Linked DNA regions of Saccharomyces cerevisiae S288C. The gene in region 2 interacts genetically with the main gene of each other region. Each region holds a gene or a part of one and is shown on either strand. Other genes may lie near its edges.

What was found.
Region 1: mutations in AIM22 (region 2) and RIM11 together harm fitness more than expected from each alone (negative genetic interaction), as found in Saccharomyces cerevisiae (3 studies listed by BioGRID).
Region 3: mutations in AIM22 (region 2) and LSC1 together harm fitness more than expected from each alone (negative genetic interaction), as found in Saccharomyces cerevisiae (3 studies listed by BioGRID).
Region 4: mutations in AIM22 (region 2) and PEX14 together harm fitness more than expected from each alone (negative genetic interaction), as found in Saccharomyces cerevisiae (2 studies listed by BioGRID).

What each region holds. Positions count from the first base shown.
Region 1 is NC_001145.3:543,493-548,058, reverse strand, and holds RIM11 (serine/threonine protein kinase RIM11), read right to left. Parts: upstream 1,935-4,566; coding exon 822-1,934; downstream 1-821. Other genes in the region: SIP5 (Sip5p), read right to left, coding at 1-345; Arf family GTPase CIN4, read right to left, coding at 2,329-2,904; DNA cross-link repair protein PSO2, read left to right, coding at 3,096-4,566. UniProt on the Saccharomyces cerevisiae protein: Serine/threonine protein kinase that is thought to function in regulating kinetochore activity and entry into meiosis. Could phosphorylate IME1.
Region 2 is NC_001142.9:350,335-354,760, reverse strand, and holds AIM22 (putative lipoate--protein ligase), read right to left. Parts: upstream 2,376-4,426; coding exon 1,146-2,375; downstream 1-1,145. Other genes in the region: cullin RTT101, read left to right, coding at 2,653-4,426. UniProt on the Saccharomyces cerevisiae protein: Catalyzes both the ATP-dependent activation of exogenously supplied lipoate to lipoyl-AMP and the transfer of the activated lipoyl onto the lipoyl domains of lipoate-dependent enzymes.
Region 3 is NC_001147.6:591,532-595,704, forward strand, and holds LSC1 (succinate--CoA ligase (GDP-forming) subunit alpha), read left to right. Parts: upstream 1-1,525; coding exon 1,526-2,515; downstream 2,516-4,173. Other genes in the region: ARP8 (Arp8p), read right to left, coding at 1-1,056; YOR142W-A (gag protein), read left to right, coding at 3,581-4,173. UniProt on the Saccharomyces cerevisiae protein: Succinyl-CoA synthetase functions in the citric acid cycle (TCA), coupling the hydrolysis of succinyl-CoA to the synthesis of ATP and thus represents the only step of substrate-level phosphorylation in the TCA.
Region 4 is NC_001139.9:213,408-217,798, forward strand, and holds PEX14 (Pex14p), read left to right. Parts: upstream 1-2,865; coding exon 2,866-3,891; downstream 3,892-4,391. Other genes in the region: AMS1 (alpha-mannosidase), read left to right, coding at 1-260; protein geranylgeranyltransferase type I subunit CDC43, read left to right, coding at 674-1,804; LYS5 (holo-[acyl-carrier-protein] synthase), read right to left, coding at 1,871-2,689; NUT1 (Nut1p), read left to right, coding at 4,117-4,391. UniProt on the Saccharomyces cerevisiae protein: Component of the PEX13-PEX14 docking complex, a translocon channel that specifically mediates the import of peroxisomal cargo proteins bound to PEX5 or PEX21 receptors.

The DNA.
Region 1 (4,566 bases), on a different chromosome or scaffold from region 2:
CTTTTCAAAAGAATAACAGCCAAATGGGGCCAAAAACCCCCCATCTACAGTTTCGCTACACCTCACAACCAATTGTTTAGCATGTGCCTCTTTAGCAAGCTCTTTTTCCCGTGACGTCTTTCTTCTACTAGTGCTGGATAGATGAGAACCAGTTTTTGTACGAGCATTATTCCCATTTAAAATATTATTGACCAAAGACGTCGTGCGTCTCGTTCTCACCCTTGAAGAGGCTTCTTCATCATATTGTTTGATGACAGAATTCGATGATGTAGTATTATATGAGGAATCTGGCCTGACATCATTAAAACTATCTTCCTGGTCTATTTTCCCTGGAACATTACCCATGGTTTGTTTGCTACTCTGGGTTCGGTTTATACTAGCTAGATTATTTGGTTCTAAGGTGCTTCTTCGTTTACTAAAACACCCACTACATCAGCTCGATGATGAACCTTCACTTGCCCCTTTATACTCTAAAAACCTTGTCGACCCATTTAAGGAAGTTGTTACCCGGTTAAAGTAAAGGTGTCATTAAAATAGTTTCGTACTGGCAAAGAATACGGCTTTTATACATAATTCGAAGTGAAATGGCATAAAAAAGTTACAATTTATTTTGGCTTTACCTTATTTTTTTCATAATTTGTATTCATTATAACAGTAATGATAACATAATACTGTTACTACTAATAATGATAAGAATATGATGGTAATACAAAAACAATACTCATAATAATAACAGTAATAATAGTACTAAAAAAAGACATACGTATATATGTTCCTTCCTTCTCCCATTATTCTTGCCTGGGCTCCCTCCGGTGCTATCATTACTTAGACTTCGGATATAGCTTTTTTTTTACAGATGATAGTTCATCGGGAGATAGATGGCCCAATTCGACATTTTCATCGAACTCTAGCAATTTTAAATCAGTTGTTATTTGATTTATTTTACCGTCATCAAGTTTTAGTTCATCAAAATATGGACTACACAGGCATTGTAGAGCATTAAATCTTTCTAGTGGATCATATTTCAAAACGTCAGCTAGAAATTCCACAGTTTGATCATCTTCTTTCTTGAAAACACGTGACAATGGTATTGGTTTAATTTGCGGGAACTTATGCTCCATATAATTGGGATTCATAGAGCAAATTTCTTGCTTTGATGGAGTACCTAAGATTTTAATGATTTCCACTAGTTGATCAATACCACTTTCTCCAGGGAACATTGGTTGGCCCAATAGCAGTTCCGCCATTACGCAGCCAGAGGACCATATGTCGATTTGGTTGGTATAATTTGTTGCGCCGAAGATTAGCTCTGGTGCTCTATAGTACCGTGAACAAATATAGGAAACGTTAGGTTCAGTAGGTTTCAATTGCTTTGCACTGCCGAAATCGCACAGTTTTAAGGACCAGGTCTCAGGATCTACTAATAAATTTTGAGGCTTAATGTCTCTATGACAGACGTTCGCGAAATGATGGAGGTAATTCAATGACTTGAACAATTGAAACATGTAGTACTTTATTTCCAATCTTGACATCGGCGTACGTTGATGGACGAAATGACGTAACCTCTGGTACAAAGATTGTGGCATGTATTCTAGTATCAAATTTAAATAAATCTCATCTTGGGAGTCCCTTTCATAGAAAAAGTACTTCAGATCTATTATATTTATGTGACTCAGCATTTTCATTATTTCCAGCTCTCTGTTCTTGAATCGTTTATCTTGCAGGACTTTCTTAATAGCAACTTTTTCATTAGTTTCTTGAATAACAGTGGCAAATACCACACCAAACGAACCATGCCCAACTACTTCGGTGGTAGGGAAAGATATCTGCACCGGATCATTCGGGTCTATCGTAGGTGGAGGATGGGCGTAGTAAACCTGTTTTGACACTATGTTATTACTGAGATTCGGAGAATTATTGCTTTGAATATTCATCCTGCGCGAGTTCTAGCGTTGCGTGATTAGTGTTGCCGTGTTGTAATGTAATGCTATGTCAAGATCTTGCCCAGTAATGTGTGAATCAGACGTCGGTGGTTGGCTATTCTGGAAAAAAAGGTGTTAAAATGCAATGCGCCAGAAAGAAAAGGAAATAAGACAATGGCAACGACCGATTGGAAATAATCTGCTGGTCTTCCTACCACTCCTTCTTGTGTAAGATCTTCAATGGACCCGTGCTTTGTAACCCGCAAGCCTTACAGAACCCCTTGGTAGTATTATTATCCGGAGTGAGCAGAAGCCACGAATGCGCACAGTCGGCGGGTAATGAACTATCACGCTATAAATACTGACATTATTTAAAGTTTTTATATGGTGCTCACATCTTAGACGATTATTGGGTAAAATGGCAGGATTCCACCAGACGGTCACGCAGGTTATCAATACCTTCTCCGGTAACGCCACTACATTTGACGAGCTCTATTCGGATGTCCGGCTTGAACAGACACTTCAACTCGCTCTCTACCAGTAAACACCTTCGATGAAGCTCGGACTTGTCCTCCACTAAATCAATCTTGTTCAACACAACGATAACAGCACACTCGTATCCTATTCGATTTTCGTCTCTATTGATTAATTCTTTTAGTTCTTGCAAGGTTTCGTCAAACCGCATTGAAAGGCTCACATCTATACACCATATCATCGCTTGTGTCTTATCAAAATAGTTATCCCAAAATGGCCTTAATGTGCGTTGCCCCCCAATGTCCCATAGAGATATTGTCACATCTTTTATCATCAGACTATGTATTTGAAAACCCACAGTAGGCATTATACCATCGTTATTTTGCTCATCCTTGGGCAATAGTTTGTTTACTATCGTTGACTTCCCCGAATTGTCTAGTCCTAGAATCAGACAGCGAATTTCTTTGTCCCTGAGCTTCTGTTTCCTGATAATACTTAGTAGTCCCATGTATTCTTCTACACCTTAAGCTTCCCTCTTATTATCTTTATAAATTAGTGCGATGGCTTTTTAGATTTTGTCATGGAAACGGACTGAAAAAGTACTAGTAAAATAGCAATATAAACATAATCAAATACCTGCGTCAAAACTCATGTTAAGCAGCATACGCACTAGTGACTAATTTGGGTGGTCGGTTGATTATGTCAAGGAAATCTATAGTGCAAATAAGAAGATCTGAAGTAAAGCGGAAACGAAGTAGCACCGCTAGCAGTACAAGTGAGGGGAAAACTCTTCATAAGAACACACATACATCCTCTAAAAGGCAGAGAACTTTGACAGAATTCAACATCCCAACTTCATCGAACTTACCTGTCCGTTCCAGTTCATATTCATTCTCAAGGTTCAGTTGTTCAACATCCAATAAGAATACAGAGCCAGTAATTATTAACGATGACGATCACAATAGCATTTGCCTTGAAGACACTGCAAAGGTCGAAATCACCATAGACACAGACGAGGAAGAACTAGTTAGCTTGCATGATAACGAAGTCAGCGCAATAGAAAATAGGACCGAAGATCGAATAGTAACGGAATTGGAGGAGCAAGTAAATGTTAAAGTCTCTACAGAAGTTATTCAATGTCCTATTTGTCTAGAAAACCTTTCTCATTTAGAATTGTACGAAAGAGAGACACACTGTGATACTTGCATAGGCAGTGACCCGAGCAATATGGGAACACCTAAAAAGAATATCAGGAGCTTTATTTCTAATCCATCATCTCCTGCAAAAACGAAGAGGGATATAGCTACGTCAAAAAAACCAACAAGAGTAAAACTTGTTTTACCAAGTTTCAAGATAATTAAGTTCAATAATGGCCACGAAATAGTTGTGGATGGTTTCAATTATAAGGCCAGCGAGACTATCTCTCAGTACTTTCTTTCTCATTTTCATTCTGATCACTATATTGGACTCAAAAAATCTTGGAACAATCCTGATGAGAATCCGATCAAGAAAACACTTTACTGTTCTAAGATCACTGCAATATTAGTAAATTTAAAATTCAAAATTCCAATGGATGAAATCCAAATTTTACCCATGAATAAACGCTTTTGGATAACAGATACCATTTCAGTAGTTACGTTGGACGCTAACCATTGTCCCGGTGCAATAATAATGCTTTTCCAGGAGTTTCTGGCAAATTCGTATGATAAGCCTATAAGACAAATTCTTCACACGGGGGATTTTCGAAGCAACGCCAAAATGATTGAGACAATTCAGAAGTGGTTGGCCGAGACAGCGAATGAAACTATTGACCAAGTTTATTTAGATACAACATATATGACTATGGGATACAACTTTCCTTCACAACATTCTGTGTGCGAGACTGTGGCTGATTTTACATTACGGCTTATAAAACATGGTAAAAACAAAACATTTGGAGATTCACAAAGGAACCTTTTTCACTTTCAGAGAAAGAAAACATTGACAACTCATCGTTACAGGGTCCTATTTCTTGTGGGAACATATACTATTGGAAAAGAGAAGCTAGCCATCAAGATATGTGAATTTTTGAAAACAAAATTATTTGTTATGCCGAATTCCGTTAAATTTTCAATGATGCTAACAGTTTTACAAAACAACGAAAATCAAAATGACATGTGGGACGAAAGCT
Region 2 (4,426 bases):
GAAGTTAGAGGAAGCTGAAGTGCAAGGATTGATAATGTAATAGGATAATGAAACATATAAAACGGAATAAGGAATAAAACGGAATATTAGTATATAGAAATATAGGTTCCATTATGAGGATTCCTAGATCCTCGAGGAGAACTTCTAGTATATTCTGTATACCTAATATTATAGCCTTTATCAACAATGGAATCCCAACAATTATCTCAAAATTCACCAATTTTCATCTTTATCAAAAATGGAATTCCAACAATTATTAAGTTATAACCAAAATTAAAAATTCACATATTTCTCACAAACAAAATCTTTACAATCACTTATTGATCAGATATAATCCTGCAAAATGGAAAGAAATTATTAATTATGAAGAAGGGTACGGCGGCCAAGAGAAATTTCATCCACATTCTATTTAGAGCACATTAAAAAAATCTCCCGGGGGCGAGTCGAACGCCCGATCTCAAGATTTCGTAGTGGTAAATTACAGTCTTGCGCCTTAAACCAACTTGGCTACCGAGAGTGATAAATGATTAATAACCAAAAAATTTTGTTTCATCATACAAATTCAAAGAAAGTATTGTTTCATAAGAATGTTGCTGAAAGGACTTTGAGTGAATTGTGAACAGTTTGATAATTATTGGTCCAAATGGCGACATTGAAGACACAGTGTAAATTATTCAATGATGATTTGGCCTGGTTTTTACAAATGATTTTATCGACGTCAAGAGGATACAGTTCAAGAACGGTTAAGCGACATTGACAAAAAATGCTCAAAAACCACTGGTGCAACTTTACTGGTGGCAGTTTTTTGAAGTGAAAAGGAACTTTATTCTGGAGCGGAAGAAATTCAATAAATGTCACCACAATACCGATGCTATTCTTAGATGATCGATAAAATTAAGTACTATCTGTCGGTTTCTCAAATAACAGTATAAATATTTAGTTCACATTTAGAGACGGCTGAATCGTAACAAAATATAGTTCTTATAGATCTAAAGTACGAACACTCCTAATGTATCGCTTATATTGAAGTTTGCTGTGAATCTAGGACGCGTCTGCTGAAATATGCTGAATCAGTTTCCGGTGAAAGACTTTAATTTTGATATTTACCTACGTTATTTACAAGTGAATTGAAATATTCATCAACGTTATGTGTAACTGTCAATATTCTCCAAAAATCCTTTGAATTCCAAGCCGATTAAATCATTTCTATCACAATCATAAATCATGCCCTTTTCGACTTTAATTGTTAAGCCTTTATCTTTAATCTTCACTGAAAATTTAGGCCCCGAGAAATATTTCCATTGTTCGCTCTGTAAGGTGTTCATAGCATCTTTAATCTCATCGTTTATAGATTTAAACTCGTCACAGTAATATATAGGTATTTCGCCGTCAACTTTGAATGTTTTCTGAAAACGCTCGGATACCACTGCAATGAACTGATTAGGAGTAATTATACCAACATTTTTGATTTTTGATTTTACACTATGAACTCCACTTGACTCCCATTCCATATTGTTCGGTAGTGAGGGTTCTAATAAGCCGCTAAACTGTTCTAAATCCGCATTAAGCAACATCGTTGCATGATGGTATGCTTTGCCACCGGCAATTTTATAAGCACTGCCACTAATTTTAAACCCGTCCTGAATAATATCTCCTCTCTCATTCAAATCTAGTCTTAGTTCGGGATTCAATGAATTTAACCACTTAATTATCATTTTGTTGAAAAACTTTGTTTCGAATTTCTCCCTTGATGTTAAATATGAATAATTAACATTGCCCAAATCATGCAGTACAGTGCCACCTCCAGAAAATCTTCTAAGTAGTTCGAAATTCTTACTCTTCAGCTTAGCAAGATCTACTTCCTGCCACAGATTTTGGTTTTTGCCTATAACGGCGCACCTATCATTGATGTAAAATAACAGTCTGCAATTATCGGGACCTCTTTTGGCTCTTGGTGTATTCTTGAAAACATAGTTTTCAAGGGCCAAATTATAATAAGGACTGGTGGATAAACTTTGTATAACAAATCTGCCCTTTGCCTTTACTATATTTTCCAATTGTGAAGCAGACATGATCTGTTTGGCATATCCAATATTATAGAAATTGTACAAGTCTTTATTAAAAGCACTGATATCTTCTTCCATAGAGCTGGCCTTCGTCGTATCATAATCAGATTTACCTTCATCCTGCAAAATTGAAACGTTATCATTTGAAGGTGTAAACATGTTTTCATACATTGAGTTTATATCATGATATTTATCGTCTGCGTCTTTTGCCCATCGTGTAAGTGTGTGAAATAAAGTGGTGCAATGTATGAGGTTTCGCTGTCCCACATATCGAGGGGAGAGTGCCCAATTACTTAGCATCATAGACATAATGTAAACATCAAAGAAAAGTCTAGTGTTTTCTTCTTTTGTATTCATCAAAAATTCTACATACGTGAGCTCGGAGATTTTTGGATGTTCAATATTCCTGATTAAGTATGACGAAGCGGAACGCATAGCTATCCTTTGCGTAATGATGAATATGAACAATGCGAATGAAGATCATCGATATCTTTGCACTAAAAGACTACTTTGAAGGAATCCTCAAGATATTAAACCCACCAATCTTTTTTACTGGTATAAATTCTCGTACGGGTTCACAGGAACAATGATAAATGAGAGCGTTTCCAAGAGAGAAGGATTCCACGAGTCTATAAGCAGAGAGACGAGTGCAAGCAACGCTTTAGGACTATACAATAAATTTAACGATGAGCGAAATCCCAGGTATCGAACGATGATTGCTGAGCTGCACGAGTTTTTTCACCTTACTTTAGCTGAAACTATAACTGAAACTGACGTGAAAGAATTGGAGTGTAATAAAGAAAAGGCCGCTAAATTTAGAAAGCTAATGCCTAAGATGTTGAACAATTGCCGTGAATTAACGCAAAGGAAATCATACATTCCTTACAACTCAGAATTTAATGGGAATGACGAAAAGCAAAAGAAGTTTCAGCTGCTACATCAACACCAAATTGTGCTGAGTTTTCAAGAATTTTGTGATGAATTGGCAAAGTTAATAATTGACGCGCACGTCCTTAGCTTTTTGACCAGATGCGACTATTCTTATGAAATTATACCCAAAAATTGGACCTCTTTTTACAAGCTATTTCAGTACGTAATGGGTGCCGTTGGTCCTATTATATCGTATGTGCCGGTAAATTATCCCATGATAAGAAAAGAACTAGGATTTGAGACCTTAACGATATTTCAGTATTATGATTCCAAACTTTTCGAATGTATGAAGTCACATTTTGGAAGGGAATTTTCCACCCTTGTAAGCGCTACTATTCATCACTATATTCATATGTTTCCAATAACGAATACAATGTTAGAGAAGGAAGTTCCTATGCTCCGTATAATGTCTAACTGCAATTTTAGTATAGAGGGCTTGAGCCCCAAAGATTTTTATATGAAAACTCTCAGACAATATTACTGTGAGGAATCAAATTTAAGGCCGAGGCTGGAAACTTTCAAGAATTTTAAGGTACTATTGACGAGGAATGCATTATTAGCATCTTTATTTTCCCCTGAATGGGTCAGCGATGCAAATGACCTATTTATAAGCCATCTACTGTTGAACAAGAAGTCTATTAGCGAATACATAGAAATTGGGAAGGACACTTATGATGAAGAAAAAGAGAGATATTTCAAAACTGAGACACACTTTAGCTTATTGATGTTTAGAAATGCTTTTGAAGCAAAAAATATGCTGTCAAAATTCAAGGAATTCTGTGATGATGCCGTTTCAGAAAAGTTAAAGGCAGCATATGGATCCAATCATGATACTGAAAGGCTATTTGATGAGGTAGTTCAGCTAGCTAATGTAGATCACCTCAAAATATACTCCGATTCCATCGAGTACCATTTATGTAATTTACTTGGAAGTACCAGCAAAGCCATAGAACAGTATGTCAAATATTTTGAGTCACATTTATTCATCATCGTCAGAAAGATAAAAACAACTAAAAAAGACCTACCCAGAGATATGAAAATAAAGTATCTCAACGAAAATCTTCCTATATTGAGACTGAAGTTCGTTAACCTTCCCACATTTCCTAATTTTTTCGAAAGATCAATTTTCAGAAAGACGATCTTACAAAGTGATCAAAATTCCTCATTTATTAAGGATATATTACCTGTTTACAAAGACAGCCTCATGGAACTTTTCAAACAAAGAATCATAACAAATGTCTCACAAGAGGATGAAATGCGATACCGAGATCAATATCAACCCTATTTATCGCAATTCTTTCAGCCGGTAGAGGTTATGGCAGATCTGAGAATCAAATATGCATCGTTCTTGTCGTTTTATGAGAATATCGAGGCTGCTGTGAAGTTCGGGAAGACATACAATGAAAACAACAGCAAGTCATTTTTCCCAC
Region 3 (4,173 bases), on a different chromosome or scaffold from region 2:
CTGTTCGTGAGCATTACCTGGTACCTTTCTTTTATAATACCTCATACGTTCTCTAAAATTCTTTTCCATCTCCGACTTTATGTTGTTAAACTCTTCTGACTGTTCTCTTTGAAGGCAAACGTTTTCAACATGTTCACTATTTTCAAGATCCAGCCATTTTTTAGGTACCGCTACACAATTTGGAACTACGACAGGATGGTCATCTTTGGGAAATCCTATCTTTATAGAATTTGATCCAGGATGTATCACGATAGTTGCTGTTGGATCATTTAGATCTATCTCGTCATTAAGTGGTGCTGCACTCGCTTCTGAGTGGGGCAAACTCTTTAAATCTATAACATCTGGTGTGTTGGTACTAGATATTTGGCTAGTGTTGTTATTTCTCAAAAATTTTCTATCTCTAAGTGCAAATATTTGATCGTCTTTTTTCAGATAATCTGATGAGTAGTTTTTTTGGTTGATTAACATTAAAGGTTGGAACAGGCCAGTGGCAGGTAAAGTAGTTGTCTCCACTTTCTCAATGCCAATTTTTTTCAACGTCTTGGCAAATTCTTCAGCAGCTTTAATACGTCCTAGTCTCCTCTTCTCCAAAAGATGTAGCGGGACTTTCTTCCCGGGAGGTGCTTTTGCGGGATCTAGCTTCGGATATTTCTTATAACGTTTACTAGTCTGCACAGCAGGTGGTGCCCTCTTATCTCTAGAGCTCCCTAATTCATTTTCATTTTCGTTGGCATTATCATTATCATTTTCGTCCTCATTGTCAACATCATTGTCGTCTTCGTCTTCATCTTCGTCTTCCCCTTCTTCATCTTCATCTTCTTCGTCTGCAACGTCTCTTGGGTCAACAGAAAGACCTGTTACACTTCTGGGTGTCTCAGATCCAACTACGTTATCGACACTATCGTCTGACTCATTCTCCGCATTTTCTTGATCCGCCTGGCTGCTTAAAGGTACGCTATTTTCTTCTTCCAGTTCATCCTCATCGTCATCATCCTCTAACGGAATATCAATGGGTTCCTCATAAATAATACTGGATTCTGCTTCTTCTTGCGACATGTTAGGTGCGATTGTATCCCTGTATTTATGTACTATTGACTAGTAATTTACCTGAAAGTGTTTGCTACTTCGTGGGCGTTCATCATCTCCATTTATTCATATTGCCATTCTCAAATAAGTCATCTTGCACGGCCCAACCAGCGGCTGGATAACGGATCTACCCCAACCTCGGACCCAAAGTTGCTGCTATAAAAACAGAAACAAAAAAGGCGTTTCTCGAGACTGATATCCAGATGGTAATAGAGCCCTTAAGTGCTTTGCAATTGTCAATTAAGTATCCTTGTTCGAGAGTTGTTCACAGCACACTGCGTATATATAGGCTTACCACAGTTGGATTTAATCAAGCGATATAAAAGCTGGAAGGAGACAAGTTTCCCCTAATTGTTGTTCTGTTTGTTACTTACCACTCTATATACGTTCGATTTCATAGAAAATTTCTTTTGCAGACCATTTATTCTTCAGTTTGATAATGTTAAGATCTACCGTTTCAAAAGCTTCTCTCAAAATTTGTCGTCACTTTCACAGAGAATCTATTCCTTACGATAAGACGATCAAAAATTTGCTGCTTCCCAAGGACACCAAGGTGATCTTTCAGGGGTTCACAGGTAAACAAGGTACTTTTCATGCCAGCATCTCTCAAGAATATGGTACAAATGTTGTGGGTGGTACGAACCCAAAAAAGGCGGGTCAAACACATTTAGGCCAACCTGTCTTTGCCTCTGTGAAGGACGCGATTAAGGAGACTGGAGCCACTGCCAGTGCCATCTTTGTTCCTCCACCGATCGCAGCTGCTGCCATTAAAGAATCTATTGAAGCTGAAATTCCGTTAGCTGTATGTATCACTGAAGGTATTCCTCAACATGACATGTTATACATTGCAGAAATGTTGCAGACACAAGATAAAACAAGATTAGTTGGGCCCAACTGCCCTGGTATCATTAACCCAGCAACAAAGGTAAGAATTGGTATCCAGCCCCCAAAAATTTTTCAAGCTGGTAAAATCGGTATTATTTCCAGATCGGGAACTTTGACATACGAAGCTGTTCAGCAAACTACAAAAACTGACCTTGGTCAATCACTGGTTATTGGTATGGGTGGTGATGCTTTTCCCGGTACTGATTTTATTGACGCCTTGAAATTATTTCTAGAAGATGAAACTACAGAAGGTATTATTATGTTAGGTGAAATAGGTGGTAAGGCCGAAATCGAAGCTGCTCAATTTCTCAAAGAATACAACTTTAGCAGGAGTAAGCCGATGCCGGTGGCATCTTTCATCGCAGGAACTGTTGCTGGTCAAATGAAAGGTGTTAGAATGGGTCACTCCGGTGCAATTGTAGAAGGATCTGGAACTGATGCAGAATCCAAAAAACAAGCTTTGAGAGATGTTGGTGTTGCCGTCGTTGAATCTCCAGGTTACTTAGGTCAAGCTTTACTGGATCAATTTGCCAAATTTAAATGATTATATTAGGAAGAGAATGAACTGCTTTCAAAAGAGGAAGACTTCTATGTCTCGATTATTGCTTAGACAAGTATGGAGCTGACATCCGTTTTCTTTTCAGAGCTTTTACTCAACATTCTATGTTAATTTTTCCCTTTGTATATATTCATTTATCCTTATAAATTCTACTAAAAATCTTTTAATAGTGTTTGTATTTAATGTTCTTCTTAACAAGGGTATACATAAAGGTTGATTAAAGCTTAATAATTGAAATGGAAAAAAAAATAACAAAACGTCTGAATTTCCTAGTCTGTTTTGCAAAAACAGATGCGCAAGCCGGGAATCGAACCCGGGCCTCATGCTTGGGAAGCATAAATTCTAACCACTGAACCACTTGCGCGTTTCAATCAATTTGGGAAGACTCAGCACGTTATATACTATTAATGAAAAATTTCCTTCTTAGTAATGACACTGATAAATAGGTAAGTGTTGGAATTAAAATCAACTATCGTCTAACAACTAGTAGTCACACTACCAATATATTATCATACACGGTGTTAGACGATGACATAAGATATGAGAAACTGTCATCGAAGTTAGACGAAGCTGAAATGCAAGGATTGATAACGTAATAGGATAATAAAACATATAGAACAGAAGGAGAAATAATCATAGTATTATTATGTAGAAATATAGATTCCTTTTTGAGGACTCCTATATCCTCGAGGAGAACTACACATAATATTATATATAACCTTTGCCAAAAAAAGGAATGCCAAAAATTATCAAACTATTTGTTGGAATAAAAATCCACTATCGTCTATCAACTAATAGTTATATTATCAATATATTATCATATACGGTGTTAAGATGATGACATAAGTTATGAGAAGCTGTCATCGAAGTTAGAGGAAGCTGAAGTGCAAGGATTGATAATGTAATAGGATAATGAAACATATAAAACGGAATGAGGAATAATCGTAATATTAGTATGTAGAAATATAGATTCCATTTTGAGGATTCCTATATCCTCGAGGAGAACTTCTAGTATATTCTGTATACCTAATATTATAGCCTTTATCAACAATGGAATCCCAACAATTATCTAATTACCCACATATATCTCATGGTAGCGCCTGTGCTTCGGTTACTTCTAAGGAAGTCCACACAAATCAAGATCCGTTAGACGTTTCAGCTTCCAAAATTCAAGAATATGATAAGGCTTCCACTAAGGCTAACTCTCAACAGACAACAACACCTGCTTCATCAGCTGTTCCAGAGAACCCCCATCATGCCTCTCCTCAACCTGCTTCAGTACCACCTCCACAGAATGGGCCGTACCCACAGCAGTGCATGATGACCCAAAACCAAGCCAATCCATCTGGTTGGTCATTTTACGGACACCCATCTATGATTCCGTATACACCTTATCAAATGTCGCCTATGTACTTTCCACCTGGGCCACAATCACAGTTTCCGCAGTATCCATCATCAGTTGGAACGCCTCTGAGCACTCCATCACCTGAGTCAGGTAATACATTTACTGATTCATCCTCAGCGGACTCTGATATGACATCCACTAAAAAATATGTCAGACCACCACCAATGTTAACCTCACCTAATGACTTTCCAAATTGGGTTAAAACATACATCAAATTTTTACAAAACTCGAATCTCGG
Region 4 (4,391 bases), on a different chromosome or scaffold from region 2:
GTGCTGTCAAGTCCAACTATTCATTAAATCCAAGGGATGAACAAAGTATTGTGGTAAGGGTTTACGAATCTCTTGGCGGGGAATCTTTTGCTTCACTAAATACCACACTAAATTTGAAGCGTATTGAGAAGGTCGATAACTTGGAGATGAAAGTTTATAAGAGTTTGACAGCAACGCGAGACGAATCAAATCATGCAATAAACAGAATTCCCATTAAATTGAGACCTTTTGAGATTGCCTCATTCAGGTTGTATTTCTGAGTTTGTCTCCCTCACTGTTTTTTACATTCACTCACTCCCAAACTTATGCCATTTCTATCATGATAACCAAAAATAGTCTTAACAAAATACATATAAGTAAATAATGCTAAATAAAAAAGCAAAAAAATAAAATTTATATCACACTTGTAAAACCTTTAAATGATCTTCTTTTTTACCTGTTTTATTCACTTGTTTTTTTTTTTCTGAGTTGTTGCGCCTTGGAAGAATGGAAAAGCAATAGTTTCAGTGACTATAGTATACAATCAAAACACCCGCCAGTTCAAAACTATTACTTGGTCACTAACCCCCAAGTCATCTCTAGCAATTTAAATTTCAATTTTAAGAAAACCTTTATTTATCCAACGTGAACAAGTACTTTCAAGCACTTCTGCCCACCGCTATATCGTGGAAAAATGTGTCAAGCTACCAATGGCCCGAGTAGAGTTGTGACTAAAAAGCATAGGAAATTTTTCGAAAGACATCTACAGTTGCTTCCCTCTTCACATCAGGGACATGACGTGAACAGAATGGCGATAATATTCTACTCAATCTCAGGACTCTCTATATTTGATGTTAACGTTTCTGCGAAGTACGGCGATCATCTTGGCTGGATGCGCAAACATTATATCAAAACAGTGCTGGATGATACAGAAAATACTGTGATATCTGGATTTGTTGGAAGCTTAGTCATGAATATCCCTCACGCAACAACGATTAATCTACCAAATACTCTCTTTGCATTGTTGTCCATGATTATGCTGAGAGATTACGAGTATTTTGAGACTATACTAGACAAAAGAAGCCTGGCGAGATTTGTTTCTAAGTGCCAACGACCTGACCGTGGCTCGTTTGTATCTTGTTTAGACTATAAGACAAATTGTGGATCTTCGGTTGATTCAGACGATTTAAGGTTTTGCTACATCGCAGTTGCCATTCTGTACATATGCGGATGCCGATCCAAAGAAGACTTTGATGAATACATTGATACTGAGAAGTTGCTTGGCTATATAATGTCGCAACAATGCTACAACGGAGCTTTCGGTGCCCACAATGAACCACACTCAGGGTACACATCTTGTGCGCTGTCTACCTTAGCTTTACTCTCTAGTTTGGAAAAGCTATCAGACAAGTTTAAAGAAGACACCATAACCTGGCTATTACATAGGCAAGTATCAAGCCATGGATGTATGAAATTTGAAAGCGAATTGAATGCCAGCTATGATCAATCTGATGATGGCGGTTTCCAGGGAAGGGAGAACAAGTTCGCTGATACGTGTTACGCATTTTGGTGCTTAAATTCACTACACTTACTAACAAAGGATTGGAAAATGCTATGCCAAACTGAACTAGTCACAAATTATTTGCTTGATCGAACGCAAAAAACATTAACTGGAGGCTTTAGTAAAAATGACGAAGAAGATGCTGATTTATATCACAGCTGTCTAGGGAGCGCTGCGTTAGCATTAATTGAGGGGAAATTTAATGGAGAATTATGCATACCTCAAGAAATATTTAATGATTTTAGTAAAAGGTGCTGTTTTTGAAGTTCAAACAGTAATAAGAGTCTATCGATTACATAAATGTGAGCAAGCGAAAAAAAAAAATTGGCATTATAAACCATCATTTTCGATGAAATAATCAATCAACGTAGATAAGCTGATATTATATAATTTTGGTCTGTTCGTGTTGATTTTATCACTGATGGACTTTGGCATACAGATAGTGACAATTTCGTTATTGAACCATTGAGAATGGAAAATCAATGGAACTTCATCCAGAGTTATGCACATAGAAGCTCCCTCAGCCGGAAAAAAGCTGATAGCGCCAAAATCTATTAGTGACAAGTCTGTGTTAAGGCCAGTTCCAGTAAATTTTGTATACGACTCCTTCAAGGACCATAAGTAAGTAAATATTGTGCATGGATCAGACGCTTTCAGTAAACCGTTAAATTCTCTTTCACTAAAAACTTCTTTAAATAGCTCCAACTCTTCCCTCCCGCCATAATTGCACGGAGAAGCGATATCAATTCCGACATCCTGGTATTCATCTGTACTTACACATTTTACGAGGAACATAGCTACATATTGTTCACCGATGGTCATGCTAAATGGAAGAAAACGATTGTTGTCTAAGAATGGCTTACCGAAGCTGCCCTTGTCAAATTTCAGCTCTTGAAAATTTAAGCCCGTTACTATAGAGCAGCCAAACAACTGCAGCAGCTGGCTGCATAGATTTGAACATCTATCGTGAAACGATTTTTTATTGAGGATTCTGGCTTGAGACGCCAATGGCAAAGTTCTCATTAATGCCTCGAACGTAAACTCATCCGCGAGTATATCCTCTTGAATTTCAACAACGAATATACCTGCCCATGGTCTTACACCTGCCACCTTTGAAACTTCGCTTACTACTTCAGTCGTTTTAACCATCCACGGTTTTTTTGCTGAGTGATTCTCTTTCTCCTCATTCTCATTTTAGTCATAGCGGTTTTAATAAGCGCCCGAAAGATAATTGTAAAACATATATTCAATGCTTAAAAATATAAGAAATTGCCCATCAATTTGAAAACTCAAGTAAAACAGAGAAGTTGTAAGGTGAATAAGGAATGAGTGACGTGGTCAGTAAAGATCGTAAGGCATTGTTCGACTCAGCAGTATCCTTTTTAAAGGATGAGTCCATTAAAGATGCTCCACTTTTAAAGAAAATCGAATTTTTAAAATCCAAAGGGTTAACAGAAAAGGAGATTGAAATAGCCATGAAAGAGCCCAAGAAAGACGGTATCGTAGGCGATGAAGTATCGAAAAAAATTGGTAGTACTGAGAATAGAGCCTCACAGGATATGTATCTCTATGAAGCGATGCCACCAACGCTGCCCCACAGGGATTGGAAGGACTATTTTGTGATGGCTACTGCCACAGCTGGGCTGTTGTATGGTGCATATGAAGTAACTAGAAGGTATGTGATACCAAATATTTTACCAGAAGCAAAAAGCAAGTTGGAAGGGGACAAAAAAGAAATTGATGATCAGTTCTCCAAAATCGATACAGTCCTCAATGCCATCGAAGCGGAGCAAGCTGAGTTTAGGAAAAAGGAAAGCGAAACATTAAAGGAACTTAGTGACACGATTGCTGAACTGAAACAGGCGCTTGTGCAGACAACAAGAAGCAGGGAAAAGATCGAAGACGAGTTTAGAATAGTTAAACTCGAGGTGGTCAATATGCAAAATACGATCGACAAATTTGTTTCAGATAATGACGGCATGCAAGAGTTAAATAATATCCAAAAAGAAATGGAATCTCTGAAAAGCTTAATGAATAACCGTATGGAATCCGGTAATGCGCAGGACAACAGATTATTTTCCATATCTCCTAATGGTATACCTGGCATAGATACGATTCCATCTGCGTCTGAGATTCTTGCCAAAATGGGCATGCAAGAAGAAAGTGATAAAGAAAAGGAAAACGGCAGCGATGCTAATAAAGATGACAATGCTGTTCCAGCGTGGAAAAAAGCAAGAGAACAAACTATTGATAGCAACGCCTCCATTCCAGAATGGCAAAAAAATACCGCCGCCAATGAGATCAGTGTCCCTGACTGGCAAAATGGACAGGTCGAAGACTCCATCCCATAGCGCAATTCTATGTAAGTAATTAGTTTTTTAACGGAAATTGTAATTGTAACTGTCCTAGATACTATGGACATTCAATCTGATTGTTACCCGGAACATTTGCTTTTGAAAGGCATTTTTAGTAGCACTAATATATTGGCAGCTAATTGAAACAGTAATCTACAAATATGAGTAAGCTAAACCACCTCAACAAAGCTATTCGTGGCTAGTATATGACCTTGAATTGCCATGGAAAAAGAATCAGTATACAACTTAGCACTAAAATGTGCTGAGCGGCAATTGACCTCCATGGAATTTTCGAACCTTTACAAGGAATTCTTTAATGAAAAGTTCCCGTCTTTGATTCAAGAGGAAGAAGAAGATACAACAACAACTGCAAATATAAATGAGGTCAAGAAAGCGTCCGATTTGGTGGATACACCCAGCAACAACACGGCTGCTACTGCAGATACTACACACTTACACGAGGCTCTAGATATTGTTTGCTCCGATTTTGTTAAAAT